Linked DNA regions of Elephas maximus indicus. The main gene of each other region encodes a partner of the protein of the gene in region 2 in a complex. Links are inferred from orthologs where the notes say so. Each region holds a gene or a part of one and is shown on either strand. Other genes may lie near its edges.

What was found.
Region 1: the proteins of ACTL7A (region 2) and TES are in contact, whole or in part, in a crystal structure (PDB 2XQN), measured with the Homo sapiens proteins. The link is inferred for Elephas maximus indicus from reciprocal best matches to the Homo sapiens genes ACTL7A and TES. Residues at the interface, in NP_006678.1 of Homo sapiens: Leu28, Gln29, Thr30, Ala31, Ser32, Leu33, Arg34, Asp35, Gly36, Pro37, Ala38, Lys39, Arg40, Ala41, Val42, Trp43, Val44, Arg45, His46; in NP_056456.1 of Homo sapiens: Asn311, Glu312, Tyr313, Thr314, Gln315, Ala316, Glu317, Leu323, Phe326, Leu335, Ala336, Gly337, Glu338, Ile339, Tyr340, Val341, Tyr353, Pro370, Glu371, Val372, Gln373, Arg374, Val375, Thr376, Tyr377, Ala384, Phe389, Leu398, Ile399, Gly400.

What each region holds. Positions count from the first base shown.
Region 1 is NC_064826.1:33,540,291-33,557,365, forward strand, and holds the start of TES (testin), read right to left. Parts: upstream 8,279-17,075; 5' UTR 8,095-8,278; coding exon 8,068-8,094; intron 5,152-8,067; exon of another isoform or gene 5,026-5,151; coding exon of another isoform or gene 5,023-5,025; intron 1-5,022. UniProt on the Homo sapiens protein: Scaffold protein that may play a role in cell adhesion, cell spreading and in the reorganization of the actin cytoskeleton. Plays a role in the regulation of cell proliferation. May act as a tumor suppressor. Inhibits tumor cell growth.
Region 2 is NC_064827.1:58,309,692-58,325,126, reverse strand, and holds ACTL7A (actin-like protein 7A), read right to left. Parts: upstream 7,971-15,435; coding exon 6,648-7,970; 3' UTR 6,592-6,647; downstream 1-6,591. Other genes in the region: ACTL7B (actin-like protein 7B), read left to right, coding at 13,933-15,180. UniProt on the Homo sapiens protein: Essential for normal spermatogenesis and male fertility. Required for normal sperm head morphology, acroplaxome formation, acrosome attachment, and acrosome granule stability.

The DNA.
Region 1 (17,075 bases), on a different chromosome or scaffold from region 2:
CTGCCCCATACAGTTTCCAAGGAGCGCCTGGTGGATTTGAACTGCCGATCTTTTGGTGAGCAGCTGTAGCACTTAACCACTACGCCACCAGGGTTTCCAATATATTGATTTGGTTTCTAAAAGGCTTACATTCAATGGGGTCAAATTTTATTCCTACTTCTAAATCTCAGAAAAACGTAGGAAGTACACCCTTTTTTTTTTTTTTTTAACCAATTTATCATTCTCTTTCCACTAAGCAGGCCCCTCATAGCAACCCTTGGAGCTCACTGGCCCATGATGTTAATTTCATGCTCAAGATGCTGGTTATCACCCCGGAGCTCAGAGAAGGCCTCATGAAACAGCTGATAATTTTCACGTTTCCCAGCACTTTTCAGCAAATCTTTTTACATGAAGAATGAGAAATTAAAAAGAAAAAAAAAAATTTTTCCCTCCCAGAATTGAGTTTATTATTTTCAGCTGCACTATTCTTAGCTGTCTGGTCTGACATTTTAGGGGCTAACTGAAAGGTCGGCAGTTCAAACTCACTAGCCACTCCGTGGAAGAAAGATGTGGTATTCTGCTTCCATAAAGATCACAGCCGTGGAAACCCTATGGGACAGTTCTACTCTGCCCTACAGGGTCACTATGAGTCAGAATCAACTCGACAGCAACAGGTTCATATATATACATACCAAAACCACAAAACCCACTGCCTAATCCAGGGAAAGGTCCTACCTCTCTTCAATTCTCTGAAGCCTGAGAGAGGTCAGGGAAGTGCAGAGGAAAAGAGGTTGGTTCATGAGGTTTAAGGAAAGAGGCCATCTCCAGAACATAAAAGTGCAAGGTGAAGCAGCCAGTGCCGATGTAGAAGCTGCAGCGAGTTACCCAGAAGATGCAGCTGACATAACTGAGGAAGGGGGCGGCCCTGAACAACAGATTGTCAGTGTAGACAAAACAGCCTTATGTTGGAAGAAGACGCCATCTAGGGCTTTCATAGCTGGAGAGAAGTCAACGCCTGACTTCAGAGCTCCAAAGGACAGGCTGACTCTCTTGCCAGGGGCTCATGCAGCTGGGGACTTTAAGTCGAAGCCAGTGCTCATTTACCATTCCAAAAACCCTAGGGCTCTTAAGAATTATGCTACATCTACTCTGCCTGTGCTCTATAAATGGAACAACAAAGCTGGATGACGGCACGTCTGTTTACAACATGGTTTACTGAATACTTCAAGCCCAGTGTTTACACCTACTGCTCAAAAAAAAGAGACTCCTTTCAAAATATTACTGCTCACTGACAATGCATCTGGTCACCCAAGAGCTCTGAGGGAGATGTACTAGGACACTAACGTTTTCATGCCTGTTAACATAACATCCATTCTGTAGCCCATGGATTAAAGTGTAACTTTGACCTTCAAGTCTTATTAATTAAGAAATACATTTTTTAAGGCTATAGCTGCCATAGATAGTGATTCCTCTGATGGATCTGGGCAAAGTAAATTGAAAACCTCCTGGAAAGGATTCACCATCCTAGATGCCATTAAGAACATTCTTGATTCACGGGAGGAGGTCAAAATATCAACATTAACAGGAGTTTGGAAAAAGTTGATTCTAGCCCTCATGGATGACTTTGGGGGGTTCAAGACTTTAGTAGAGGAACTACAGATACGGTAGAAATAGCAAAAGAATTAGAATTAGAAGTAGAGCTGAAAATGTAACTGAATTGCTGCAATCTCATGATAAAATGTTAATGGATAAGGAGTTGCGTCTTATGGATGAACAAAGAAAGTGGTTTCTTGAGATGGAATCTACTCCTGGTAAAGATGCTGTGAATATTGCTGAAATGACAACAAAGGATTTAGAATATTACATAAACTCATTTGATAAAGCAGCGGTAGGATTTGAGAGGACTGATTTCCATTTTGAAAGTTCTACTATAGGTAAAATGCTATCAAACAGCATTGCATGCTACAGAGAACTCTTTCGTGAAAGGAAGTGTCAATCAATGCGACAAACTTCACTGCTGTCTTATTTTAAGAAATTGCCACTGCCACCCCAACCTTCAGCAACCACTACCCTGATCAGTTAGCAGTCATCAATATCGAGGCAAGACCCTCCACCAGCAAAAAGATTACGATTCGCTGAAGGCTCCGATGATGGTTAGTATTTTTTAATTAAGGTATGTACGTTGCTTTTTTTTAGACATAATATTATTGCACTTAATAGGCTATAGTATAGTGTAAACAACATTTATATGCACTGGGAAATAAAAAAATTCCTGTGACTCACTTTATTGTGATATTCACTTTATTGTGGCGGTCTGGAACTCGTAATATCTCTGACGTATGCCTGTAATCAATCTGAGCCTTAGTTTCTTCATCCTAAAAATGGGGCTAAGGTCTACTTCATGAGATGGATTTGAACAGCAAAAGAAATAACATATAATACTTTTTGAACTGCAAACTATGCAAGTATAATCAGATACGAATTTGTCTCTCAAGAAGCCTGCAGTCTAGGTAAGGATGTGAAATATACACAAAGGGAACTATAATCCACAGGGGGGTGTGATCTGTGTCATAAGAATTATAGATAACATGCATCAGGAATTCAGGAGAAAGAGATCTTGCATCTAGCTGGGAACACAGAGAAAAATTTTCCAGAGGAGATTACGGGGTCCTTGAAGGATGGGTAAGATTTAGGATTGTAGATAGAGTGGAGTATGAGTACCAACAAAGGAAAGGAATGGGGTGAGGCAACAGTACTAATATAGTAGAAACATATATCCCTAGTTCTACTTCTCCCCATGTGTCTGTCAGAGTGTTGTACTGTAGTGGCTTGCATGTTGCTGTGATCCTGGAAGCTATGCCACTGGTATTCAAATATCAGCAGGACCACTCATGATGGACAGGTTTCAGTGGAGCTTCCAGACTAAGACAGACTAGGAAGAAGGACCTGGCGATCTACTTCTGGAAAAAATTAGCCAGTGAAAACATTATGAGTAGCAGTGGAACACTGTCTGGTATAGTGCCAGAAGATGAGCCCCTCAGGTTGGAAGCCACTCAAAATACGATTGAGGAAGAGCCGCCTCCTGAAAGTAGAGTCAACCTTAATGAATTAAATGGAGTCAAGCTTTTGGGACCTTCATTTGTTGATGTGGCACAATTCAAAATGAGAATAGCTGAAAACATCCATTAATAATAGGAACATGGAATGCATGAAGTATGAATCTAGGAAAACTGGAAATTGTCAAAAAAGAAATAGAACGCATAAACATTGATATCTTAGCCATTAGTGAGCCGAAATGCACTGGTATTGTATCCTTTCAACATACTTACTCAATCTGTAAGCTGAGCAAATAATCCAAAAGCTGGACTATATGAAGAAGAACATGGCATTAGGATTGGCGGAAGACTCATTAACAACCTGCATTATGCAGATGACACAATTCTGCCTGCTGAAAGTGAAGAGGACTTGAAGCACTTACTGATGAAGATCAAAGACTACAGCTTTCAGTATGGATTACACTTCAACATAAAGAAAACAAAAATCTTCACAACTGGACCAGTAAGTAACATCATGGTAAATGAACAAAAGACTGCAGTTGCCAAGGGTTTCATTTTACTTGGATCTACAATCAAAGCCCATTGAAGCAGCAGTCAAGAACTCAAATGACACATTGCATTGGGCAAATCTGCTGCAAAAGACCTGTTTAAAGTGTCAAAAAAGCTAAAATGCGACTTTAAGGACTAAGGTGCGCCTGACCCAAGCCATGGTTTTTTCAATTGCCTCGTATGCATGCGAAAGCTGGATAATGAATAAGGAAGACCAAAGAAGAATTGACGCCTTTGAGTTATGGTGTTGGTGAAGAATACTGACTATACCATGGACTGCCAAAAGAAAGAACAAATCTGTCGTGGAAGAAGTAGAGCCAAAGTGCTCCTTAGAGGCAAGGGTGGTGAGACTATGTCTCATATACCTTCGACATGTTATCAGGAGGGAGCAGTCCCCAGAGAAAGACATCATGCTCGGTAAAGTAGAGGGTGAGTGAAAAAGAAGACCTCGATGAGATAGACTGACACAGTAGCGTTCATAATGGGCTCAGGCATAACAATGATTATGAGGATGACGCGGGACCAGGCAGTGTTTCATCCTCTGGTACATGGGTTCGCTATGAGTTGGAACTGACTTGATGGCATCTAACAATAAAAATAATTCCATTTCTTAGGATAACATAAAGGAACAAACAACAACAAAAAAAAACTGAAACTCACAAAAACCTACTAGAGTTCTAGTCAAATCAACACTCAGGGCTAGTTAAGAGGAAGTGACGTTTCATATCCAGTCAATGTAATGGGTTACGAGAGATAAAAGTCCAGCTGCGGACCACTTCACTTTTTTCTATTTGTTCTGAGAGGCAGGCAGCTAAGACAAAGCCCTGAACATACCTTGTTCTCTCTTTCCCCTGGCCTTGACAATGATTCCCACAGCAAAAATGACTTGAAGCAGAGAATCCACCTGTAGATTTGCGCATGCAGGTCTCCCTCTACTTGCCCTTTCAGCTTCAATCAGGGACCATCTAAGAAAAGATGCTCACTCTAATTTCTCATGGAAATAATTTCTCAAAGAAATAATTGTGGTTCAGTCTTCTTTCCAAATGCAATCATTTGGTTTTACTATGGCTTTTTGGCTAATGAAAGAAGCTTTTAAAACAAGCTTTGGATGTAGAGAAAGGGGATTTTTAGTGACCTGTAATCTTTAAAATGCTTGTCATTTTTTAAAAAAGGAAAAAAAAAAAAAGAGTCCTAAGAAAAACATGCCAAGATATTTGAATGGTTCAAAAAACAGAGGTTAGAATGGAGGCAAGAAATGAATCAGGTACGAAATTAAAAGCCCTGCAGCAATTCCGGCAGTACAAGAGAAATTACTGGAGTTCTTTCTCTCTGGTATGCGTTTAAGGAGAAAGAGAGCGGGGGAAAAAAAAAGTGGTTCTCCTGAGAGAATAACACAGAAAGGAAAGAGCAAAGCAGCTGGCTGTGGGCCATGACTTACCATTCACCACAAAGTGTGACTGTTTCTGCTTCTCAAAGGCCATTGTTTTTTCCAAGCATACATGGGCTCCACTTAGACAAAGTCAATTACAGTGAAGAGACTTAAGGCATAAGGGGTCTAGATGAGTACCTCAGAAGACAGACCAAGGATGTGAAAGTCAAACTCTGTTCTAAAATATTGTTAAAACAAAAACTCTGTATAACCAAACTATCTCCCACCTCCTTGCAACAGCTTGCTTACTTCAAACAAAACAAAAATAGAGCAAAATCTAAATTATAAAAATCCCTTGTCTTTGGGATAGTGGGTTTACTGGTAATTAATCCAAAGTGGTACAAAGTAGATATCAAGTTCTTCTTTTATAACCCAAGAATCCTATAATAGTATCATCCACCTAGGTCGCTGTGTAATAAAAACAAACCTCTTTAATTCTTTTTATACAAAATGTTAGTGGAAATAAAGTAACATTTCTCATCTGCCTAGGGAAAATTCCTTATGAAATCAACAATGTAAGAATTTTAGAAGAAAAAAAATTTCATGTATCTCAGAACAGAAGTCATGTTTAGCTTTATTCAAGTGGTGTGTCTTTGTTCCAATCTCCAAGCTGGCTTTTCTCAAGGTACATTGAAACTATTCTTTTTCTTGTGTACGTGAGTTTAAAAAAAAAAAAAAAAACCCAGAGGCTTGAAAACTAGGTTTCTAAATAGGGTAAGAGGGCTCTGCTGGTAGATCAGGGATAATTTTGTGATGTTTCCTTCTTCAGGTATGTTGGAAAACAATTTCTAAAGCAGATACATGTTTCTTTCTGAGATTATGGCTAAAATCGTGAAATGTATTTCTGGGGGCAGGATCTCCAAACTCTTTTGCACAGGGAAACTTATTCTCCAATCCACAGATCATAAAGTCTGTCGAGGACTCTCCAAAGGCAAAAAGAGGGTATGACTGGCAGTCAAATTGGAGCTCTTTGGGATCTTTTAGTACTTTCCAATTTACTTGTTGAGGACTCTGCCCTAAGAATCACTAGAGGTGACAAAACAAGGGTTTGTCCTGTCAAGGGATTATCTGTAAAAGCTTTAAGTTTATGGAACCCTTTTCTCCAGGGTTGGGGAGGATTAGAGAGAAGGATAACATTCTTCATTGAAAAAATCTTTTAAAATAAAAGGTGATGGAGAAGAAAAATTACATCAAGTGTCAAGGGCATTATATTTATTCATCATAACCCACATTTTGAAAGTTTAAGGAAACTGTTTACAGATAATGTTTGGCTTTTTCTCTTGCAAGCACATGTAATTCTTACCTTTGGGTTTTTCCCCGCAGGATTACTTGTTCTTGTCTCAAATACTTTCAAAATCATTTTTGGAGGTCGACTTTTAAGAAGCAGTTTCAAATCAATACTTATATGCACAGTCAAGACCCCCAGAACTCTTGACAACTACTATTCTTACCCACTTGAAAAACAAAATGAGAGTGGTGTTCATCAACAGAAGGCTAGCAAAATGCTTTCCTTAGTGCCAAGCATGATGAACAAAAAATATCAGGGTTACTTCAAAGCAAATAAAAGAATAAGAAACCAATCAGAAAGATAAAGGACTGCAGTTAATCACACTACGTGAAGAATTTACTTTGTTTTCCAGTCCTTGGATTCCCTTTTGAGTACCGGTTTTAGTCATAACCCCAAAACCACTGCCGTCGAGTCTACTGAGACTCACAGTGAACCTAGGAATGAGCTGTTTTCCCATTGCAAATATTTATTGCTTCTTTTTTTTTTTTAACCTAATCTGCGTTCATTTTCAATAGTCCAGTATGGATCATGAAAGTGCATTAATGCTCAAGTCAGGAACTGCATCTTTAGAAGATGGAATAACAACAATATCGACAACCTTAAGTTGGCAACTAGAAAGAAAACTAAGTTTTCTGTATTATCCTCCTCATTTTTTCTGGAAAACTTCCTTTCCTATTTGATTAGGGGCAGCTAGCTTAAACTTGTTATTTTTAGTAGCCATAGAGTGGATTCAAACTCCTGGCCATCCCAAGGATGCAGAGAACTGCTCCACAGAGTTTCCAAGGCTGCGATCTTTCAGAAGCAGAGCCTTAGGACTGTCTTCTGAGGCGCCTCTAGTGGGTTCCAAAAGCCAACCTTTCGACTAGCGCCTAACCTTTTGCGCCACTCAGAGACTCTCCTTTTAAATTTACTGCAAAGTAAATATGCGCAATTCCCTAGAATGAGACCTTTCATAGGGAACGTTGCCCTGGAATGTGACATCAGCATTCCTTGTGAGTCACAGTGCGGTGCCCACCCACTTCCCCCTGAGGACCTGAGGCTCCCCATAGTCACGGAGCGGCTCAGGCAGAGCCGTCGGTCCTGACGCCCCAGAGCAGGCTGGAAACTCCTCCAAGCGCTAAGGCACTGGTGATCCAGAGGCTGTTTGGGGAAGCTGTCAGGCAGGGAGAGCGTTTTCTCTGAGAGATAACTCCCTAAGAAGGAGGCAGTGCCTTGGCAGTCAAGTAATAAATGAAAAAAAAAAAAAAAACCCTCAAGTTATCAGCCAGCCACGGGTGCGAAGGAAGTGTATGGAATCAGCACTCCTTGTAGACAGTCTCGGGGGGCCAAGCGGCCGGCAGTGGAGGAGGTCTGAGCTGTCAAAGCCGGATTCAGGCCCCTAAACCACAAAGGTTTAAAGTTGAATTTCCTGAGACAGGAAGAAGCGGTGTCACGGTCCCGCCCGGCCTCACCCTGACCTCACCCTTCCCCTTTAGGGAGGCACAGAGCAGTGGAAACACCTTAAGGAAACTTTTCCAGCACTTCAAGCCCCCGGGCAGTGGTCAGACGGCAGGGAAATGTCCCGCGCTCGGTCGCGCTCCCGACTCGCCACCGCCCCAGTTTCGGAGGCGGGGAGAGCCCGCTGGCACCTTGTGTCCCCCGGAGGGTGGGCACCTGGGACCCGGAGACCCGGCTCGCGCCGCCCGCACGCCCGACCGCCCCCGGCATCTAGGGGGCGGCGCCGCCTTCAGGTGAGGCAGCCTTGCCCGCAGCCGGAGCTCCCCTACCTTCTTCACTCGGGCTTCCAGGTCCATAGCTGCGCTTCAACGGGCTTCGCTCCGACCGTGCGGACCTGACGTAGAGGCCCGGCGCGGGCACTGGGGAAACCTGCGGGGACTCCCGAGCCCCTGCAGCAGCCGCTCGCCGGCGCCGTCAAACTTCCGCCGCTCTGCCCGCAGCAGCCGGCCTGCGACCCGGCCCCGGGAACAAAGAGGCCGAGGCAGCCAATCGCAGCCGGGCATCGCGGGCCGCGGCCAATCACGGAGCGCCGCACGCACCTTCGGCTGGGCCGCTGCGCCCGCAAGGTGAGGGGCGGGGCCTCCTGGGGGCGGGGGCCTCTTGGGGGCGGGGTCTGTGGAGCTGGCCCGGTTGCCCCGACCTCGTCTCCGCGAATACTCTGGGCCTCCGCCCGCTCACTCAGGAAGATTTGGGGTCAGACTGTCTTTCAGCTGAAGGTGGACGAGAGCCCTTTCCATCCTGCCAGCTTGTACTTATGTTTGCCGGGCACCTTTGATTTCTGTCCGGGGAGCATTTACTCCGGGACTAGCTTCCTGGTTGATTTTCAGAGCAATGAGAAAGACAAGAGCGTGAGCATATTCTTTGGCCCTAATTTAACTACTAGGCAAGCTAGAGAGTCAAGGAAAAGAAGAAGACCCTCAATGAGATGGATTGACAGAGTGGAAGAAACAGTGGGCTCAAACATAGCATCCATTGTGAGGATGGCACCGGACTGGGCAGCGTTTTGTTCTGTTGTGCCTACCGTCGCTCCCACTGGAGGGCACCTAACAACAATATCGCTCCTAAGAGCCCTGTGGTCCAATGGTTAGGCGGTTGGCAGCTGACCAAAAAGTTTGGCAGGTCGAATTCACCCAACCCATTCTGGGAGAAAGACCTGATGATCTGCTCTGGTAAAGATTATAGCCAAGAAAACCCTATGGGGCAAATCTACTCTGTCACATGGGGTCTTTATGAGTCAAAATCAGCTGAAGGGCAGTCAACAACGATTTCACTGCTGGGTTGTGGAGATGGCATTTCCTCAAATGCTTTTCTCCATAGCCCCAAAACACTGGCAGAGAATGTTATTTCAACAGTTTTATCATAAATAAAGATAGGTATATGGTTTTATGAGCATTCAATTGTTCAAAAAGTAGGGATAATGTGAGTCACTGCAGAGACATTATGAGCCATTCCTTTGCAAGTACAGGTTTGCCCTTTGTCCCTACTCCATGAAATGGTCTGAAGTTTCTCATGTGTCTCATGCCTTGATGAAGCAGAGTTTCACAGGTATCACAGCAGCCTTGCAGCCCAGAGCTGAAGCCATTCCTTTATTCTGGAGCCATTACAACACATGCCATCAGATTGTTGGATCTGGAAGGGACCCTAGAGATTAGTGAGTCTAACCTCCCTCATTTTGCAGGGAATGGAGGGCCTGAGAGGGACCTAAGGTCATTGGGAGATGTCTTAGGCTGAGTTCTCTAGAGAAGCAAACCAGTGAAGCTACACACAAACACACACACTCACACACATACACACACACACACGAGAGAGAGAGAGAGATTTATATCAAGGAAGAAAATGGTTCATGCAGTTATAGAGGCTGGAAAGTCTCAAATCCATTGGTCAGGCTGGAGGCTTCTCCTGACTCACATAGCTATAGGAACTGGTGAACCCAAGATTGGCAGGTCAGACTGTAGACTGCTAGCTCACAGACTGGAGGCTGACAAATCCCATGACCAGCAGGTAAGCTGCTAACTCAAGTCCCAAGAGCCAAAGGTCAGATGAACAGGAGTAAGCTGCAGGATGCAGGATCCAGAAAGAGAAAAAACCCTTAAGCCTTGCTAGAAAGTCGACCTATATTGGATGCAGGCCACACTCCCAAGGAAACACCCTTTTGACTGATTGGCTACTCACAGCAGATCTCATCATGGAGGTGATTATAGGGCTGCCAAACTATATCATAACTGCCAAACCACTGAGCATCATGGTCCCATCAAGTTGACACACAACCTGAATGATCACAGGTGGTAAGACAGTGTTCATGAGTCTTTATAATGTTTACAGCATGCATGGACTGGAAACAGCATTTTGACTAAGAAAAAGAGAACAAGAGTATTTTTTTCACTTTCTGGTAATGACAAAAAAATGATAAATACCAGCCAGTAGGTGGTCTTTTAATTTGGTGCATCTCTTTTAAAAAAATAAAATATAAATAAGTAAATAAATACAAAAATAAAATCCCAAACAATGCAGATATTTCAGTCCAGATGTCTCTCCACTTTGCCTCTGGAAATTTGGTAACTAAGAACATCCAAAATTTTAGCCACCAATTTCAATCCTTTGCTATTTGTTAACATTGCTCAACAGGACATTGATTTACTATGTGCATTTTTACTTATTCTATTAATAAACTAAAAATGGGATGGCCAAAATGGATCATGATCTTTTTAATTCACTGAGTGGAAAACTTTCCTATTTCATTTTCCCAATCATCCTAAAAGTACTGGGCCCCTGCATAGTTTGCCCAGTGTAAGATCACATGCACATAAGGTCTTGCCATGACAAAAATATTTGGTCTCTTTCTAGGAGCTAAACAGATGGAAAATGTCCAGTAAGACAGTTTAAATAAGGCATCAAATAAATGTAACATAAATTTTGGGCCCTTATTTGGTGGAGCAGCAGAGATGGCACTAAGAAAAAAATCTAGAAACATTTTTTACCATCCAGTTTTTCCCTTCTCCTTTATCTTTCCATTCTAGCATCACTTTGTATAGGTATCATTAGCAAAGGATGGAAGTTGAAACTCAGTGATTTCTATCTGGAATCATTACTGTGCCAAATACATAGAAAGCAAAATTAAGGTAGATAAGTGTTTTGTTAAGAGGATAAGATTGTGAGTCCTTATTTCGTTATTCACATGTTAAGCTAGTGAGATATTTAGAGGGTAGAGCATGGTTTGATGACTACATGTAGCTGATGACAGGAAAGAATAGAGGTTGACATAGGTTTCTGGCTTAAGCAAGCGTCTGTGTAAATAGTTCAGGAAGAGAGAAAATATAGAATGAAGGAAATAGTTTGCTTAGTTGTGCTTTTTCGGGGATGGTGGAGATAATGAGTACGGTTTGGAATGTATTGTGTTTGACATGTCTATGGGATATTTATGTGAAGTATCCAAATATAAACCTCAGAGATGAGACCTGAGATGGTGATTTAAGAGTCAACACCCTACATAGATAAGTAACTGAAAGCCATGATGGAAATAGGATCAGCCTGGGAGATGGCAAAATAAAAGAGAAGAGTATCAAAGACAACAATTAAGCAGTGCTGAGCAAAAGAAGCACAGAAAAGACATGAGGGCTAGTAGAAGGATCAGGAAAAAAAAAATTAAGAGTGGAGTCTCAAAACCAAGAAAGGACATTAAAGAAGGAATTAGTCAACAACGTCAAACTGTAGATAAAGGTTAAATGCCCATTGGATTTAACAACAAGATCATTGGTAACCTTGGGAAGTCCATCTTGATGAAGTTGTGGGGACAGATATTACCTTATAATTGAATCTCCTTTTGTGCCTAGCGGAACAGTTTGATAAACATTTGGCTTGGCTCCTCTCCAAACTCATGGAAACATTAGCCAAATAAATGCCCAACTCCGATATTTCAATCAAATAAAGTAGAGAGGAAATTGATATTCTGGATAATGCTAGGTAACAGTCTTGATGTTCTTTTCCTTAGAAAAGGAAATACAATACTAGGTTTTATACACACATGTGCACGCACGTACACACAATCCTCATAGGCTAAATAGAATAGCTGTTCAGCAAAAATCCAGTCTCTAGGCTATCAAGTTTTAGTCTTTGATTAGGGAAATAGGTTAAACCTTTATTATGTACCTGGAACTGTAATGAGTGCTGAAGACCTTTCCTCTGTTCTTAAGTAGTTTATAAATTTTATGGGAGTGGCAAGCATGTAGGAATTGTGAAGTGTTGCAGGTAAAGCGAAGCACAAATGAGGATCAAGGAGAGGGTAGTTTTAGGGTTTGGAAAGTCTTTAGAGAGGAATAACCCTTGCCTGAGTCTTGCAAGATGAATAGGTGTCTTAGTTAAAACTCTTTTGATTGTAAGCAATAGAACCCCTTTTGAGCTAGTTTAATCAATAACGTGGCATTTGTATAAGGATGTTGAGGTGTCTTGCAAAACCCAAGGGTCAGAATGCATCTGGGAGTAGAACCAGGAAATGGGTAACATCTGGAACCAAGAAAGGTATTCCTTCTCTGGGACCATGTCTTCTCTCATCTTGCTGCTCTGCCTGTATCAGCTTTCATTCTTTCATTCTGTAGACTATTTTCTGAACACCCCACATTCCACAAAAGCAGTCTCAGTTCGTGGGTTGACATTACCTTACCTCAAGAAAAAGGTCCAGTTTGGGGGTTCAACCCCTCCAAAGGAAATATTCTTATTAGTCCAGCTTGAATAAGCTTGGACCTCTAATCCAATCAGCTGAGGCTTGTGCCAATTCAGAGCCATGTAGGACAACATGTAGGCTGAAGCTCAGACTTCTAGGTAGAGTAGATCTCATAGAAAGGGGCCAGTGGTGGCTGGTGAGAGCCTTCCAAATGTACCAAAAGACACCTATTACCCTGTCTGGGAGGTTATGAGGAAATGAATGTGGGAGAGGCTTAGGGCATGTCGTGGATTGAATTGTGTCCCACAGAAATATGTGTTAACTTGGTTAGGCCGTGGGGGACCTCATACCACCAAGAAAGCAGTGCTGGGAGCAGAGCACATCCTTTGGACCTGGGGTTGTTGCGCCTGAGAAGCTTCTTGACCAGGAGAAGATCGATGACAAGGATCTTCCTCCAAAGCCAACAGAGAAAGCCTTCCCCTGGAGCTGATGCCCTGAATTTGGACTTCTAGCCTACTAGATTGTGAGAAAATAAATTTCTCTTTGTTAAAGCCATCCAGTTGAACTTCTGTTAGAGCAGTACTAGATGACTAAGACAGGGCATAAGAAAAAGAGATGAACATTTTGCTATGAACACTGGAGAATTAACATTTCAAAAAAATTACGTTTTAGAAAATCTACTTGGGCAAAACCTGGAAGGTGTTTCTTTTATTGAGAGGAATAGGGCTGGAGAATGAATTAGCTAGAAAGAGTCACCAATGATATCAAGGAGGTGGAAAATACTGGCCTTGATTGACTGGCTTACAGGAGAGAGGATAAAGAATCTAGAATGACTCTTAGGAATCAGTTTTGGGGGACTGGTAGAGTGGATGCAGTTCATTCCTTAAGGTAGGAAACACAAGAGAAGAAGGAAGTTTCAAAAAGATTATGAACTTAGTTTCATATATATTGATTTTTACAAGGCCAATTGGATCTGAGTCTAGTAGTAAAAATAAATATCTGGGCTGGAGATATAGACAATTATATATTCATAGGTACACACATATATACACCTATGCATATAAACACCTACATAAATTTGAGGGAGAATCTGTTCCACACTTCTCTACTAACCTCTGGTGACAGCCTGCGATTCTTGGCATTACTTGGCTTGCAGCTGCAATCTCTACCTCCGTTACCACATGGTGTTCTCTGTGTCTCTTCTCCTGTTTTATAGGGATACCACTCATACTGGAGGCGTGTATCTGTTTCCAGGTATGAGTATGGTGGAGGTGATAAGGAAGGTCCAGGGCAGTGTTTGATGGACAGAGAGATGTAGATATTCTCCAGGTATTAATGTAAATCACTGCAGGCCAATTTTATAACAGTAACTACAAAAGTAAAGATTGAAGGGGCTGAAGCAATCTGTTGTTGTTGTTGTATGCTGTCTAGTCAATTCTGCCTTATAGCCACCCTACAAGACAGAGTAGAACAGCCCCAAATGATTTTCTAGGCTGTAATCTTTACGGGAGAGATCACCAGGTCTTTTCTCTCGAGTTGCCTCTGGGTGGGTTCCAACTGCCCATCTTTCACTTAGCAGCAGAGCATATAACTGCTGTGCCACCAGGGCTCATCCTGAAGCAATTTAGGCCCCGTGATAGCTCAATACTGACCCTCCATGGCTCCTTTCTACCCGCAACTAGAAACTGCTTTGAGGAAAATCAAAACTGTCTAGGCTAAGAGCAAGAGAGACAATGGAAAGTAAAAGTTCAGAGAAGTACTATCCAAAATGGTAGCAACTTACCAGATTTGGCTATTCAAATTTAAATTTTAATTAACAACATTAATTAATTGAAAATAAAATGTTAAATTCTGTTTCTCAGTCTCTCTAGCCACTTTTCAAGGACTCAATAGACTGGGGGCAGGGGGTGGGCTTCCGAGTCAGGCAATCCCAAAAGCAAGTATTTCTTTAACTTTTTGTAAAACAAGGGAAAAGGGAGCTCTCTGAAGCTGGACAAGATTTTCTGCACCCTGCCTCTCTGTAAAATTCACTGAAACCAGTACCACATAAAAATCAGTTACAAAGATGTTACTATCCACTGTTGCTTATTATCTTAGGGCAAATATTGACACAAAATATTCATTTTTGTACTCTAGGAACAAAACTTTTTTTGATCTGATTAAGAAAACTTTATACTATTACCCCAAAATGTAATAAGATTTTATTTTAACTTGAACATATTAAAAAAAAAAAAAAACACTGAATAATTCCTATGGAATGGCTGGATAAGTTTAGAAATGACGTAAAAACAGAAGGGAAAAATATTGTCAATTTCTCCCACAAGTGAATGTTAAATGGTAATACGATGCTAAGCATATATGCAACTAATTTCACAGGCAAATAAGGAAAACATGATGTAAAACACAGGAGTGTAAAATAAAAGTATGAGACTTTATAGCACTGGAATTTGTTGGATTAATAGGCTAGGAATCCTTCTGTGTCTTGGGATGGAGAATTTCACACCATTGTTTAAGCAAATACTTCTTTGTGGATGAATACCATGAGTGCTGTGTGGTATTTGTGGAATTATACTTGATGGCAGCATGCTTCCTGGGTAGAATGATACCTTTTAGGAATAAACAAAGAGGGCTCTTTTAGTTTTACTCAGTAATTAAAATCATTGTGGAAAAGTTCTGTGAGTAGTTAGAGGACCATAAGCATCATGCAAATTTAAGCAACTGTCATCAGTTCTTATATCATTTAAGTATTGTAGCAATTTATTTTCTTAAAAAAAAATACAATTATGTTTTTTTCCAGTAGGTAGGCAATATAGTGTTTTAGTATAGCCAAAAAAAAAAAAGAAGCTGGCTTGTGTATGAGACACAAATGTCATACAGTTCCCACAAGCTTCAATGCTCACAAACATTTTAATACCACCTTTAAGTACAACACAACCCCTTGTCTTAACGGGGCATTACTACTTTTTAGTAAAATAGCAATATTTTCTTAATTGTAAAACATTATTCTATTAAATTGTCATTTAATAACTTCCTTTAAAAATTTACACAAGATCTCATTTTTTAAACTGCTTTTCCTTGGGTTTTCCATTTCTTGAGAGCTCAATGTGTTACGTCAATAGAATTGTTGTACTTTGAAGATTGTCTCTTAAGTGTAATATAAATATGAGCCTCTGGTAAGCCTCAGTGTGAACAAAAGCTCCTAATTTACTTTTCATGAATTAATTCAGTCCTAAAAAGGGATGGCACCAGCCTATTGGTGACTATTTATTTTAGTGTAGCACTTGCTGTGAGAGCTGGATAACAAGGAAAGTCAATTACAGCTCTGAAAGAGATGTAGATTTTCCTCCCTGGAAACTCAGGCTTTTAATCCCTGGATAAAAACCTAGCCTGGAATGCATTCTGAAAGGCATAACATTTACTTCTACCATAAGAGGATGTAGTAACCCCTAGATACCTATCATTTAAACAAATAGATCAGCCAAAATAATGAAGTGAGGAATATGCCAAATAAGGCCAACATGTTCTGTTTGGATTTGTGAAAAGTAAATTGTGCAATAAATTTTCCATTATATTTCATCTGCTTTTGATAGGCCACAGAAGCTAGAACAGTGTTCATGTGCACATGAGAAATTCTAAGACTATTAAAAGGCAAATGAATTAATTGATTTATATGCTTCTCATTAAGACTTAATTCCTCTGTAACCTTAAAAATAAATATCTACCCATATGGTCCAAATATGCAGACTATTAGTGTTATCCTGCTGCTTCTGCTCTTGTTAATTGCATGTGACATTTCACTGCCCCCAGCAGGCTACTAATTCAATTCAATTTAATTCCACTCAATTCGATTCAGTTCTTACTCAGAGTTCATTGGGCTTCTAGTCAATATGGCATATAGCCCAGATGAAAGATGAGCTGCTTTCTTTCAAGCCCTAGTGGGAAAAGAGTGGGTAAATAGTAGGAAATCATTAAATAGCAATTCAGTTATAAAGCAAGGTATAAGTGATAGACAGTAAGTGTTGTAGACTTTAAAAATGAGACCAGTATAAGCATGCTTATATAGCTGTATTCATATTAGCAAAACATTGGAAACAAACAAAATGCTTATTATCAGTGAAGTAGACAAGTTATGTATATTTACACATGGAACTTAACATTTGAAGTGAATCATAACACGAATCTTACATACACAATTCTGAGTTGGGGCAACAAGGTAGCTCCATTTAGAAAAAGATACAGTTGGATTCTTATGCATATGCCAATATAAACTCTAAACAGATGATAGATTTAAATAAAATAATTTAAGTACAGGAAGAAAACATAAATAAATTCCTTTATAAAAATACATGAGGAAAGTTCTTTCTAACTCTGATTCAAAGTCCAAAAGTTAATTTAAAACTGATAAAACAGATTATATCAAAAAAACTTCTTTGTGGCGAAACTACTGTAAGTAAAGTTAAAAGAAATGAAAAACCCAAGGGAAAAATTATTTATGTAATTCAAACAAAAATTAATATGCTAAGATACAAGATAAACATACAAAAATCAGTTGGATTCCTATACACCAATAAAGAGAATGATGAAAAGGAAATCAGGAAAACAATACCATTTGTAATAGCC
Region 2 (15,435 bases):
GCTCTGAGCACTCCACATGTGGGTCTGTGGGTTTAACCTGATAAACCCACGCTAACATTCCAATTTCCCTAAGCCTTTGAATACCTTCTTCTACAGTATACCAAGGCAGGTCTGGTACTTTAATGTAGGCCACTATGTAAGCCATACTTCAGCAAACAAGTAAATTATTAGATCCTTTCCTGACCTCTCGAGCTAAAACATTGAATGAATAATCTGTGCTTAGTGGGGCCATATCAGTTAATTCAGACTGATCCAATGTTATGTTCCTTGCACCATTATCCCACACCCTTAATAGCCATTCCCACACATATTCCCCAGGTTCCTGTTTGGATTAGAAAAATCGACCAGTTCTTTTGGAATGTAGTATACCTCCTCCTAGGTCACACTTTGTACTTCACCTTTTGGGACTCACTGGGACTTAAGTCCGGTTATAGGTCTAGAAGCAAAAATGGGTAGTAAGGATATGTTCTGAGAACATTCAGCAATGTCTTGTAAGGCATCTGTCTCAGGCAATGCTCCAGGTGCTGACTCATACACCACCCCTCAAATAAAGGCTCTTCAGGCACAGCTAGATTAATCTCATAAGATGGGGGTGGAGGGACTAGTGGTTTTGTTGGCAGGAGCGATTCAACAGAATTTAGTGTCCCCAGCTTCTTGATTATCTGCCCATATGTCCCCAACTCAAGTTTCAGGATCCTGTTTCTTCTCAATCAATGCTCTCACTTTAACGTCGGACACTACTTGAGGTTGGGAATTCAGTTGGCATTGTAATTCAGCCACTCTTACAATAAGATTCTGGATTTGGTTTTCAGCAATATCAACTCTTACTATAAGAAATAAGGCTTTCTTTCAGGGCACAAGTGGCAAGTTTGAGGTCATTTATGTAGCGTTTAAGCTTTGACTTTAAAGCCGAGTTCATCTCTTTCTTTCACTACTTTGTGTAGGACCGATCAACCAGCTTCCTTATATTTCTCATTCTGACGAAATTGTGAAAATTATCAAATGTGATCACCCAGAGCCTTGCCATTCACCAATACTTGATCTGTTGGTGGTGGTATTTTGCATATTTCCATTGCTACCTCACACCATGGATTAGCAGTGCCCTCCTTACTACTGAGAGCAGAGTCAACATGTTTAAAAAAGACTAACCAGGCTTGGGAACCAATTTAGAAAACTCATTCTTACAATTTTGTTTCTCTAGAACCACTCTTGGTACCAAATGTCTTAGACTGGGTTCTCTAAAAAAGCAAAACCAGTGAAGTGTGCGTGTGTGTGTGTATAAATATATATATATATGTATATGTGTGTATATATATATGTATGTATATATAGCAGTTGTAGAGGCAGGAAAGCCCCAAGTCCATGAGTCATGTGTCAGGCTGGAGGTTTCTACTGACTCACATAGCTGCAGGGGCTAACAAGCCCAAGATCAGCAGGTCAGACAGCAGGCTGCTGGCTTATGGGCTGCAGAGGCTAATGAATCTCAGATTGATAAGATGACAGGCTGCTGGCTCAAGTCCTAAGAACCAGAGTTCAGATGATGACGAGACAAATGCAGGACCCAGAACAGAGCAAAAGCCAGTGAGCTTTGCCAGAAAGTTCATATGTATTGGATGCAGGCTATACTTCCAAGGAAACTCCCTTTCAACTGATGGCTGCTTATAGCAGATCTCATCATGGAAGTGATTACATTATATCAGACCTCATCATGGAGGTGATTACATCATTCCATAACTGCCAAACTACTGAGAATCGGGGCCCAGCCAAGTTGACATACAGCCTTAACCATCACAGGTATGGATGAGCAGTGTACATGTATGGCCTGCACAGTTGTAAATTATTCTTTGTTCTCCAAATAGGGCCTCCTATAACTGAAATGTTTTTGTCAATGTCTAAGCCATTTCATTTGTTTATGGTGCTTAGCTGTTTTGTTCAGTTTCTCAAAAGAACTTTCTATTTTCTTTTTGGTGAGTTTAGAAAAAGCCCAGTTAATTTTGACAACAGTTTTGTGACTGATCCTTGGATAAGGTTAAAAATTTCTTCCATGATTTTAATACCAGAGTCAGACCTCCATTACTGTATCTAGAATAATAGGAAATGCTGCTTTTGATCCTCAGAGTATAGATATAGGCAGTCCCTGAGTTACAAATGAGAGCTGTTCCTAAGTGTGTTTTTTAATTGAATTTGTAGGTAAGTAGGGACCAAAAAAAAGTTTTGTTTTTTTTTAGGGACAGGTACATACATTTCTTATTTAGCCTTATTTTAGGGCAGTTTTACCCTGTCCTATAGGATCACTATGAGTCGGAATCGACTTGATGGCAACATTTTTTTTTCTTTTCAGTACAAGAAAAGGCTCGAAGCCTTTTCAATGATTTAAAATCTGCACATTCAGCAAGTGAAGGTGATTGTGATGAAGAATTTTTTTTAGGGGTTGGTTCAATCATTTCAAAGTGAGGGCAAATTTATGTAATAGTAAAGGGCAAGGGCAGGTACTGTCTGTAAGTCAGACATAACCTGGTGACTGCCTCTATGCCTGAATTGTAATTTAAGAAGACTTTACCCAATACGGGGCCCTGGTGACACAGTGGTTAAGTGTTTCGCTGCTTACCAAAAGGATGGCAGTTCAAATCCATCAGCCGCTCCTTGGAAACCCTATGGGGCAGTTCTGCTGTGCCCTGTAGTGTCACGATCAGCTGAAATCAACTCAACGGCAACAAGTTTGGTTTGGTTTTTTGTTACTCAATATAGCTAAATGTTCACTATAGAATCTAGGGGTATTCACTGTATAATTCTTTCAACTTTTCTGTATGTCTGAAAATTTTCACAATAAAATATTGAGAAAAACACAGAAAAGAAGGTATTGTCCTGCTTCGAGGGAATATTTGTTGACACATACCTAATGAATTTGCTTTAATTAAGTACCAAACATTGAAAGGCAGAAAATACTTTGCAACTACTCTTTGGCATGGGTCAATGAACATGGTAACTTACATAACATTTTAAATATGCTGTAGTGCTTTCACTTTAAAATTGCAACTGGTTTATACTAAAACAAATTTGGATCATAGTACAAGGGTCCCATGTTGATGTATTGGAAATAGGAATAAATGTGTCAGTTGGTATGAGTGAAATTTCATGCATGTCCAATCCCCTTAAGATAATGTATAGATAGATATGCAGCAAGAAAAAATTTGTAAATTTGAATTACTGTCAATTACTATCTCTTCTCTTCTGGACAAGATTGGGTTTTGTTGATTTTGAGAAGAATCAGGCAGGAGCAGACCCGCCAAATTGAAGGCAAAGCCAAGGAGGAATTGATGGAGAAGTCAAATGTTGTGTATGGGAAGAGGAGAAACTCATGTGAGTGTTGAATGCTTAATTTTGGGGAAAGAGTTTGTCAAGTGCTAGAAAAGATTATATAACTCTTCCCAAAAATTTGATTTCTGTCCCAAAGCAGTTTCATGCTGCAGGGAGCAAAAAATCCTCAGTTCTTTCCTTGGTTCCATTGAGCCAAATGGCTTGCTCAGATGCTCCAAACATCAAGCTAGAACTTAACAGAGGATTGTCTCCGTGAATCAAAATGGATTTTAACATTATTTTTCTTTAAACTAAGGCAGGAGCTAATGTTTTTATTATGTCTTTAATAGTATAGCTGATTGTAATTTTTCAGCCCTGCTATGTATTTTAAAATGCATTATTTTTTTATTAAAAATGTTATGTTTATGTATATATTTTCATATATACCTGCATGAATTTGAGAGATTTGTCTAACTGTAACTGAAGGGGTATTTCAAGAAATAAATAAAATTGACTATTCTTAGTAATATAAATAAGATGACTGCAAGTTTAGGAAGCAAAATTAATTCTTCCTCTTGTGCCAGCCCATGAACCTTTGTGCTTCTGTAGAAGCATCACCTAGGACAAGTCCTTGGGAGCCTTTGGTTGTCCTACCTTGTCTGTCGTATTAGTAACTGAGGTGGGGATGAAAATCTTAGGGGCTGGATGACTATAAATGTCCAAGAGGCTGGAGACAAGTCAAGGTGACGTTTGGAAAGACTGACGGCCTGCTCTTGATCCTGTGTCCCTGGAGCTGAGCCTGCTGCCTGCCCCCTAAGCCCTTGCTTGTGCCTCCTGCCCACAGTAGCCACTCCACATTACTCCTACTGGCTCTGAAGTCCCAGGAACGTTGAGAACAAGGGATGCTCCCCTGGTAAAGAAACAAACAGGTTTTGGCCCATGGATCCACTCTTTCTTGTTAACATCCTAGGATGAAGTCATTTAATCTCACTGAGCCTTGCTTTCCTCCAGCCTTGTCTGCTCTTTGGACTAAGAGTTTCTTAGCCTCAGCACTATTGACATTTTGGGTCATATGATTCTTTGCAGTGAGAGACTCTCTGGTGCATTGTGGGAATATTTAGTAACATCCCTGACTTCTACCCACTAGATGCCAGTGGCACACCTCCCACCTCACCCCCCACAGTTACGATAACCAAAAATATCTCCAGACATTATCAAATGTCACAGGAAGGGGAAAAGTGCCCCCAGTTAAGAACCACTGGGCTAAGATGACTTCCAAATATTACTAAAACTTTTCATTTCTTTTTGTCAGGGAGATTCTTTTTACTAGAGTGATTGTGAGGATCAAGTGAGAGAATTCATAAAAGTGCTTTGAAAAAAAACTATGCAACTATTCAGCCTTATATTGCTATTTTTCATTTAAAATACAGCATAACATTTAGGCCTAGGATGACGTAGAGACTCCCATCCTCCAGAACCACCCCCCACCTCTCCTCTTCATCAAGACAGTCATCTTTTGGGGGGCTCTTAGCCTGGATTCCACAGAACCCAGAAGATAGAGCTGCATTTTAATATGATTGGTTTCCTCTTTATTCTTATGTATTTTATTTTCTGCATTTAGAAGCATTACTCTGAGAAGGGGTCCACAGGTTAAGAATTAACCAAAAAAACTTGCCAGTCAGGGAATTTCATAGAGTGTTGACAGTAGAGGAGTTTGGGCAGAAACTGAGCTGAATAAGACATACCTCTCGAGTCAGTGTACCCAACTTCTGGCTGGTTCCATGATACTCAGGGTAAGGCTTAGTCATCTTTGCTGAACCACAGAAGTCCAGGTACCCTTCTGTAACCATTTTTGCTTCCCTACACCAGTGTACTGGTGCTAGCCAAATAAGCTTACTCATCAGGCCTGGGTCCAGGGTCAGGCAACTAGGTCTTTGAAGGTTGTCTGGACAGACCTAGAGGTGTGAGGATAGCTCTCTAGTGCATCTCCCTGGAGATGGCAGAGGTGCCAGCTCTCCTAGGAGTGCTGAACATGTGAATATGTAGACTGGGCTTATGGTGTATAACTGGTAGATGTCTACAAAATAATATTAATTAACTCTTGTGAGCACCTTGTGGAGGCCAGGGATGCATTCAGGTGTTTATCTCTGTTTTTTTGCGTCAGCTGTGTGAGGTAGGCATTTAGTATTCAATTCTGTAGGTGAGCAAACAGATGGTAACAAAATACAGTTTCTCAAATCACAGAGGTCAAGAGCCCATGTTCTTTCTACTATTTTATGCTGCCTGCCAGTGTTGTTCAGGTTCTGAACTTTGGAGAGAGGGCAGGGAATATGCCCTGAGGCCTGTCTTCAAAAATCTGTGCTCCAGTTACAAACTCCCTCTGCCGGAATACCATAGAACCTGATGGGCCACGGACGATCTGTATGTTTCTTCAGGCTCCTCTGAGTTAAAATAACTGGCATGGGGCAGCCTCCCACAAACCCATGTCATCAGCCCCAGAACCAGCAGCCTCCATCGTGAACCCACTCCAAACCCCAACTGTGTCCCTTACAGGCTGATGGAAAATCAAATCTGGTGGGAAATGGGCAGCTACTTCTCAGATATCTGGAGAATGAGTGTGGCTACTATCCTCATGACCACAGTGCTGATAACCCAAGATGAATCTAACCCCAATTTTTTAAAAAGAGAAAATATATGTAACACTCCTAAGACACATACATATATTCCACTCATAATATTCTCGGCTTTGGAAGCCAGTCACCATGATGGCTTAATAAGAGCTGGTATTGAGACACAAATGACTGTTGGAGGTAAAAGTACAGTTAAAGCAGGGGTCAGACATTTTTGTAGGCTGTTTCCAAGCCCTTGGTATTTATTGAAAGGGATCTTCTTATATGCTCCAGCAGCATTTACTCCATAATCTATCTTCATTGCACTCCCCCTTCCAAGCCAATTTTAACAATAAAAAAATTCCCAAAGTGGGGAATACAGAAAACAAGGGATAGATTAATTTTAGAGCTAATTTCTCCTAAGAAAGAGGGAGTGTTTAAGAAATCATCAGATAATGCATGTCTTTTTCATCTCTCCCCTCTCCCCATTTTGTTCTGGCAAATGTATATTTTAAGGCAGGTGCTGCATCTGTGAAGTTGCTTTTAGTAAGTTAGGAAATAAACACACTGTGGAGGGGAACATGAGGGCTGTTTAATACCACAGGAATGGACATGCTATCATGAGGGTCATTTAATACCACAGGAGTGGACATGCTGGCTCAGTTCCCTGTGTGCAGGATGGGTGTTCACCCAGCAAAGCTGGTGCTTTTCAACCACGACCACCATGCTTCACTCCAGAGTTCAGAAGCATCTTCTGTAGAGGAAGAAAGGCCCGTGTTCCTCGTACTCAAAGCGGTGGACCCACAGTGGCTGAAAGCCCTGGAGCGAGGCAAGGATGGAGCCACCAGTCCACACTGCAGTGTCTCTTTCTGGCAATACGTTAACCTGGGGCGAGTCATTGGGACACATGCTGCTCAGCTCCTTCTGCAGGCGGTTAGGGAAACCACTGAGCATCGTGCTGCCCCCGCAGAGCAGGATGTTCCCCATGAGGTCCCGTTTGAGGGCAACGTCGCATTTGTTGAGGCAGGACACAGTCTGGGTATGTAGCCCCAGCTGCATGGACTTGATTAGAGATGGCCTGAAGAACATCTCTGAGCAGAGGAACCTTTCTTGGCACAGCTGTATTTCCTGCCCGTCTGGCAGAGTATACTGGATCATGTGCTCAGTAGATGGTACTTTCTTCTCTTCGATAGGGTCCAGGGCCGCAAAGCAGCATTTCTTTTTGATGTCCTCCACAATGCCCATCTGGTCCTCTGTGAAATGCTTCCCCGAATTGTTCATTAGGTTCATCAGGTAAGTTGTCAGGTCAGAGCCTGCATAGTCCAGCCTCCCGGTGATGCTAGGCAGAGGATAACCCTCGTAGATGGGGACCACGTAGGATACACCATGGCCAACCTCCACCACCAAGCCAGAGGTCCTTCCGTATGAGTACATGGACAGGCGGGACTGGTAGGCTATGTGCATGGCGGGTGTGTTGAAGGTTTCAAACAGCATCTCGGCATACTTCTCTCGGTTGGTGTGAGGGCTCAGGGGGGGATCTGAAACCAAGACCGCATGCTCCTCTGGGCTGATCTTCATCTCTTGTCGGAAGAGATATTCCCAGATATCCTGCACTGAATCCCAGTCCACAATGATGCCATGTCGCAGAGGATTAATTAGCTTGAGACGGACCTCAGGATTGAGGAGCTCATGCCCCACAAACGTCTCTTTGCGATTATCCCCGGTTTTGGCTGTCTCCATGTAGGGCTTGCCCACTGTTGATGAGATCTTGTGAGTGGGCTTTGGCAGGCCAGCAAAGCCACATTTGCAGTACCCAGTGCCCAGGTCCACTACCACTGCCTTAGTTGCCTGTAGCTTAGGCCTCTCCTTGGCCACTGTGGATTTAGTAGGGTCTTCTGGCTTTGAACTATTGCAGCGAACCCACACTGCCCGCTTGGCCGGGCCGTCCTTTAAGGAGGCAGTCTGGAGGGCCTGTGTCTGTATGGACATCTGTTCATTCACTTTCTTGGCAGGCCCATCCCCAATCATAGCCACCTGTGGAGCCCACACACTGTCAAGAGCCATCCTGCTCTCAGAAAGCTCCTCAATCCCACCAGCTTCAAGGCCTGAAAGGCCTAAATCAGAGGGTAACTTCAGAATCTTCCCAAAGATGACATCACTGATTATGACATAATCCAGTGACCCAGGGCTTTCTAGATCCCGGGAAACTTTGTCCTGTATTAGGATAGATTTGGGGTGGTGTTTGCGAACTGCCTTCACCTTTCTTTTTCTAAATTTTGCAATAAACCTCATTCATTCAATTGAGTAATATTTATTGAGTACCTGTTACATCTAAGGCAGCTAGGAATACAGCAGTGACAAAAAAACAACTCTGTGCCCACGTAGAGCTTACACTCTAGTCAGTGAGGGTTGGGCATCAGGGGAAACAGACAACCAAAATAAATGTATGTTAGAAGGTGTTAACAGGGGCCTAGCAAGGGCAGCAAATGCCCAGGGCTAATCTCTAAATTGTAACCCTCCCCCTCCAACTTTAAGAAGAATAGACATTGATAGCAGTGACAGCAGAAATGCCTTCCCCCCTCTTGTCTGGCTGCCTCAGGCACATTTCATATTTGTGACACCTGGGAATGTCATTTGGTACCCTCCTGGACTTGTGCCTAGGGGCAAGTGCCCCTTTTCGGACCTCTGTCCTCGCTACACCTCTGGGTGCTAAGAGCTAAAGAGAAAAAGTAGGGAAGGATGCTAGGAAGGGTGACAATGTTAGTGTGGCCTGAGCAGGGCTCCCTGAGTAAAGACCTGAAGGAGGTTAAGGGACAGAGCCCCGTGTGTATCAGGGGGAGCAGCTTGTGCAGACACATTAGAGCAGGGGCCAGCAAACTGCAGCCCACAGGCGGAATTTAGCCTGCGGCCTGTTTATGTACATAAAGTTCTATTGGAACACAGCCACGCTCATTTGTTTGCCTGTTGTTTAAGGCTGCTTTCACACTAAAATGGTAGATTTGAGTTCTATAGTCCGGAAGCCTAAATGCAAGATGTTATCAGGCTATATTCCTTCTGAAGCCTTCAGGGAAAGTTCGTTTCCTGCCTTTTTCAGCTTATAGAGGCTGCCTGCATCCCTTGGCTCATGCCCTCTTCCTTGTGTCATTCTAACCTGCTTTTACCTTCTTGCCTCCCTTTTATAAGGACCCTTGTGATTACATTGTGTCCACTTGGATAATCCAGGATAATCTCCCCATCTCAAGATACTTTTGCCATGTAAGGTAACATATTCAGAGGTTCCAGGGATTTAGGATGTGGACATTTTGGGGGCCCATTATTCCACATGCCTCACACCCTCTTACATCACCTGTGTACCAACTTCACTAAAGCACTCAAAGCCATGCTCTGTTGCATGTGCTCCTCCTCCCCGATTGCCCATGCTCACCCTCCCTACCCTTCCATCATTGTGGGAGGAAGAGGTGGGCCAGTTTAAGGCCAACCCCTCCATCTAGTAGGTAAGGCCTATGAGTACAGGGATGCTCAGGCCGCACCCGCACATCTTCTTGGGTAATGCCAGTGGATACTTTTCAGTCCTCTTACTTGACCTCTCAGAGATTCATGTGCTTGAATGCTCACTCCTAATTGAAGCTCTCTTTCCCTTAGCTTTCATGTCCTCTTTCATGTCTCTTCCCCCTCCCTGGGTCGACATGTAGTTAGTAGTGTCAATGATAGAAGAATACAGAGATTGTTGGCACACTACACCCAAAACTGCCACTGCCTGGCACGTACCCCCTCCACCACCTTGTCACTAGCCATCTAAGGTGTTTGTGGACTCTGTGGGGTCTCTGGGGAGGACCCTTAGGTAGAGACAGTCTATATTACTCAGACTACTTGGGCCCCATTTTCTTCTGAGATCACACATACTTTTGCTCTTCTGGCCCAGCACCAAAAGAGCTGCAAAATGGCCCTTTCTTGAAAGTAATCCTGGGCCTTCCTCTGTAGTAGAGAAAGAAAACCTGGAAAGACAGGACTAAGAAACATGTTTCTCCCTGAGGTGGTATCCTTGCTCCTGACCTTGGTTTTTAGGATACTCTTCTTGACCTTTGGAGGAAAGGTGAACTAGGCCACTGTAATTTTAGCAGCCATGGGAGGGAAGAAAGAAAATCTAGTGAGGAAAAGGCCAATGCATAGCATTTCTTCTCATGAGTTACCTGGAGTTTTTCTTAAAAATTCAGATTTCTAGATCCCAGCCTTATCTCATCAGAGTATTTAGAGTCTAGGAATATTTAAGCCTAGGAATTCGGCTCTTCAATGTATCAAAGTTCGAAAATCAGGAACTCCCAGTGGAGAGAGGTTTCCTTGCCGAACAGGCACTTTGAATCTCTTTGTTCTTTCCCAAAACTCAGGTCCCAATATGATAAGCCAAGTACCAAGCCTGTGCCCATTTTCCTTGAGGTAGAAGGGAAAGGAACTCTCTTCAGAGGGTAGACTCAAATCTGAGTCTAGCTGCATTCTCTTCCTCATCTCTAGACCATCTCTAGACAGCCTCATGGTCTATTGGCATCTCTAAGACAGCACACCCTAAATGGAACTCATTATCTTTCCCTATATAGTTGCGCCTCTCCCTGCAGTCCTTATTTCTTTGAGGGACACCACCATCCACCAAGTTGCTCAAGTTAGAAACCTGGAGACTAAGAATAGGGATCAAGTTGGTGAGGGGGCATAGTACCATCGTAATCAGATTCAACTAATGTTTTGAGTAGTTTAAGGATCATACAGACAATGAATAATGAAGCTACAGATTTGAACTCAGTCCTTCTGAGTTAAGTTCCTTGCTCTTCCTTCCATTCTGTGCTGTCTTTCCATAAGGAATGGAAGAGGAGTAGGCTCACAGGAGCCCAGTCCTTAAATAGCAGAAGAGCTGTCACACGGAACTAGCTTGCCTTGCACAGACTCAGAAGTAAACACAAAACCAATTAGTGGCTTCTTTAGAGAAGTACAGATATTGTCGTGGATTGACTTATGTCCCCCAAAAAATGTGAGATGAGAGGGAAGCTAGCAGAGAGTTGGAGACCGCATACCACCAAGAAAGCAGTGCCAGGAGCAGAGTGCGTCCTTTGGACCCGAGGTCCCTGCATGAAGAAGGTCCTGGTCTGGGGAAAGATTGATGAGAAGGCCAACGGAGAAAGAAAACCTTCTCCTGAAGCTGACTCCCTGAATTAGAACTTTTAGCCTACTTTAAAATAAATAAATAAATAAACTTCTCTTTGTTAAGGCCATCTACTTGTGGTATTTCTGTTATAGCAGCACTAGATGACTAAAACAGGTGTCAATCCAATATGAGGAAGTTTATTACAGCTGGCCAAATGTAGTGGGCTGTCTATGCCAGATTACTGGGTGGAATGTTCTAGAGGGCATTCAAGTGTCTAATCCTCAAGGTTTATTATTTTGTGATATCACCAATGAAGTTTCTAGGTTGATGCTCATAATTGTAACCCTTATAAAGTTATTCATATAATCCAGTTTCATAGCACCATGTTCCAAGAAACAATTCAGCAAACAAAAATTCCAGAATAAATTCTTCATTAGCCTTCTTACGTGGTCCACAGCAATATTTCTTAACTACACCTCTCTTTTCTTTCCTGTTCATGTCCCCTAACCCGTCAGTTACTTCTGCCCAATTCTCCCACAAAACTCCTTCTGCCCCAGCTGCTCCTCTTTCCATTTTTCTCTTAGTTCTTCACTACCAAAGCCCTAATCTTTTTTTTTTTTTTTTTTTTTTTGCAGAGGGGAGCAGTTTGGGATGGAGGTTCCTATGGGAACCTAGTGAATTTATTCCGTCTGGGTGACAGGTCATCTTTGCTTGGACAAAGGTAAAGGACTCATCCTTCCCTCTCCCTCACTCCCCGCATCTAATTTAAGTGTAATGGTCACAGGTGCCCAAGAGGGAAGGCCTCGAATGCTAGGAGTGGAAGCTCAGATTATACTGAGGACAGTTGGAGGACTAACTGGTTAGAATAGATTCTGCCTTCTAAGCTTCTCTAGAACCTGTCCCTTCCTCTCTTCTACACTACCTACCTCAGGCCACCTTCAAGTCTTGTAAGGATTTCTTCAAGGGCTCTCAGCTTCTAGTCTTAGCCCTCTTATCCGTTCTCTACATTACGGCCAAGGACAAATCTAAAGTATTTTCAGGTAACAAATCTGACTACTTCCATGCTTCAAGTCTTCATTGGTTCCTCAACTGTCCTCAATTTAATCCAAACTTTTACTTCTATCATTTGAAGTCCTCCTCCATGGGTTCCTGTGACCTCTCTAGCCTCATCCATTGCAGTACATTTCTAAATGCCCCCCCCGCCACACACACACATTTGAACTTTTGCTCAGGCTGTGCTCTCTGCTTGGGATATCCTTCCCTGCTCTTAGAAACTTAATAAACACCCACATATCTTTCAGTATTAACTCCTTGTTATGGATTGAATTGTGTCCCCCAAAAATGTGTGTTGACTTGGCTAGGCCATGATTCCCAATATTGTGTGGTTGTCCGTCCACTTTTTGTCATCTGATTTGATTTTCCTATGTGTTGTAAATCCTTCCTCTGTGATATTAATGAGGCAGGATTAGAGGCAGTTATGTTAATGACACAGGACTCCATCTACAAGATTAGGTTGTATCTTGACTCAATTTCTTTTGAGATATGAAAGAGGGAAGCAAGCAGAGAGACAGGGGGACCTCATACCACCAAGAAAATAGCTCCAGAAGCAGAGCATGTCCTGTGGACCTGGGGTCCCTGTAGTTAGAAGCTCCTAGACCAAAGGAAGATTATTGACAAGGATTTTCCCCTGGGGCCGACAGAGAGAGAAAGTCTTCCCCTAGAGCTGGTACCCTGAATTTGGACTCCTAGCCTCCCTGACTGTGAGAGAATAAACTTCTCTTTATTAAAACCATCCACTTGTGGTATTTCTGTTACAGCAGCACTAGATAACTAAGACAGTCCTCCTTGAGTGTATCACCTCCTCTCTAGAGAATCTTCTGACAGCCTCCCCCAAAATAAGTACTATCTTCTTATGCACCAAATAGACTTCGACCTTCAAATTTATCTGCATTCATTCTCTCTTCTGCCCACCTCGACTGGACACTGATTGTGGCCAGAGCCTCTACAATCTATCTCCAGCTGGCAGGACTGGACTGCGCCCACTTCTGGTTTAGTAAATGTTGAATAAAGTGATGAGATCACTGTTGAGGCACTCAAGCACTTTAAGGAGGCCTGATGCATAGGCGATGAACAGATTTGGGTTAAAATTCCAGTACAAATACTGCTCAGCTGTTTGCTCTCGGGCAAGTCATTTGAGTTTTGAGCCTCCATTTCCTCAGATCTGGCTACCTCCCAGGATTCTGTGAAATTACATATGTGAAGGACCTGGTACAGTGCCTGGCTTACTATAGGAGCTTGAAAGATATTTATCCCCCTTTGTCAAGAAGCAGAGGAGGAAAAGGTGTTCAGTGAACAAGGCAGGGCTTTGAACCAGTTTGCTCCAGTTCAAACCCTTGCTAAGAATTTGCATTTCTAACAAGTTCCCAGGAAGTTATAAGTAAGAATTACCTGGGGATCTTGTTAAAATGTAGATTCTGATTCAGTATGTCTGGGGTGGAAATGCAAATTCTTAGCAGGGAACTTGTTAGAAATGCAAATTCACAGCAGGGGGGTTTGAACAGAAGGAAAAGGTTAGAAACCCTGGAACAAGGGTTAGGAGTGGGGATGGAAGGAGACGGAGGAGAAACCTCTGAGAATACAGGGTGTATGGATTTCTGAAACTATGCCGGCCACTGTAGCAACTCAAGTTGGAGTGGGGGTGGGGGTGGGGTGGGGGGTGGGGAGAAGAGATCAGTGGCCGCCAAGACGGAGCCCTTCCCCCAGCTGCCTGAGTGGACCAGCCCCAGTGACATCACAATCCTGAGTGGTTGCCAAGGCACTGCTGGAGGTAAGCCTTCTCATTTCTTCCCCCGGAACTCTGGGATGTGGATGTGAGAAGGTGAGCAAGGAAGGCAGATGGCGACAAGGAACAGTCCTAGCCCCATGGGCGCAGCTCAGGGTGACCCAGGAGAGGCAGGAGCATTGCCAGGCTATGATGCTGGCATCCGAGACACAGGTTCAGCCGCCCAGCTTAAAGTGAAGCCCAAGAAGGTGCGTAAGGTCAAGGCGCTCATCATCGACCTGGGCTCCCAGTACTGTAAGTGTGGCTATGGGGGCGAGCCGAGGCCCACCTACTTCATCTCCTCCACTGTGGGCAAGCGCTGCCCCGAGGCAGCCCACGCGGGCGACTCCAGCAAGGAGACCTACGTAGGCCACGAGCTGCTCAACACGGAGGTGCCTCTCAAGCTGGTTAACCCCCTAAAGCACGGCATCGTGGTCGACTGGGACTGCGTCCAGAACATCTGGGAGTACATCTTCCACACGGCCATGAAGATCCTCCCCGAGGAGCACGCTGTGCTGGTCTCCGACCCTCCGCTCAGCCCCAGCAGCAACCGGGAGAAGTATGCGGAGCTCCTGTTCGAGACCTTCGGCATCCCCGCCATGCACGTGACATCCCAGTCGCTCCTGTCCATCTACTCCTACGGCAAGACCTCAGGGCTGGTGGTGGAGAGCGGGCACGGTGTCTCACACGTGGTGCCCATCTCGGAGGGCGAAGTGCTGCCGGGCCTGACCATGCGTGCCGACTATGCCGGGAGCGACCTCACCAACTACCTGATGCAGCTGCTCAACGAGGCGGGCCACAAGTTCACGGACGACCACCTGCACGTCCTCGAGCACATCAAGAAGAAGTGCTGCTACGCGGCTCTCATGCCCGATCAGGAGCTTAGCCTGCCCCTGGAGGAGATCCGGGTCGACTATGAACTCCCGGACGGCAAGCTCATCACCATCGGCCAGGAGCGTTTCCGGTGCTCGGAGATGCTCTTCAAGCCCTCCCTGATGGGCTGCGGCCAGCCAGGCCTCCCTGCGCTCACCGCTGCTTGCCTGGGCCACTGCCAGGAGGCAGGCTTCAAGGAGGAGATGGCCGCCAATGTGCTGCTGTGCGGGGGCTGCACCATGCTAGATGGCTTCCCTGAGCGCTTCCAGAGGGAGCTGAGCCTCCTCTGCCCTGGTGACATCCTCGCTGTGGCTGCGGCTCCTGAGAGGAAGACCTCAGTGTGGACCGGCGGCTCCATTCTGGCCTCCCTGCAGGCCTTCCAGCAGCTCTGGGTCAGCAAGGAAGAGTTCCAGGAGCGGGGCAGCGCCGCCATCTACAATAAGTGCTGAGCAGTGGTGCCCTGACCAGGAAACCCTCGTGGGCAGGCAGCCACAGGCCACTGTATACACATTTACAAAGTTTCACATAAAACTTTAACTTGCATTGTCTCTTGTCTAGCCTGCATTTCTTGCTCTGGTCTGATAGCATAGGGAGGGAGGAGTTGGGCTTACAAGTACCAAGCACTGGGCTGGGGTAAAAGAGAGTGTCACACTGATCCCTCCCCCTTTATATCCTCTTTGAGGGTGACCCTATCTTGGAGCCCA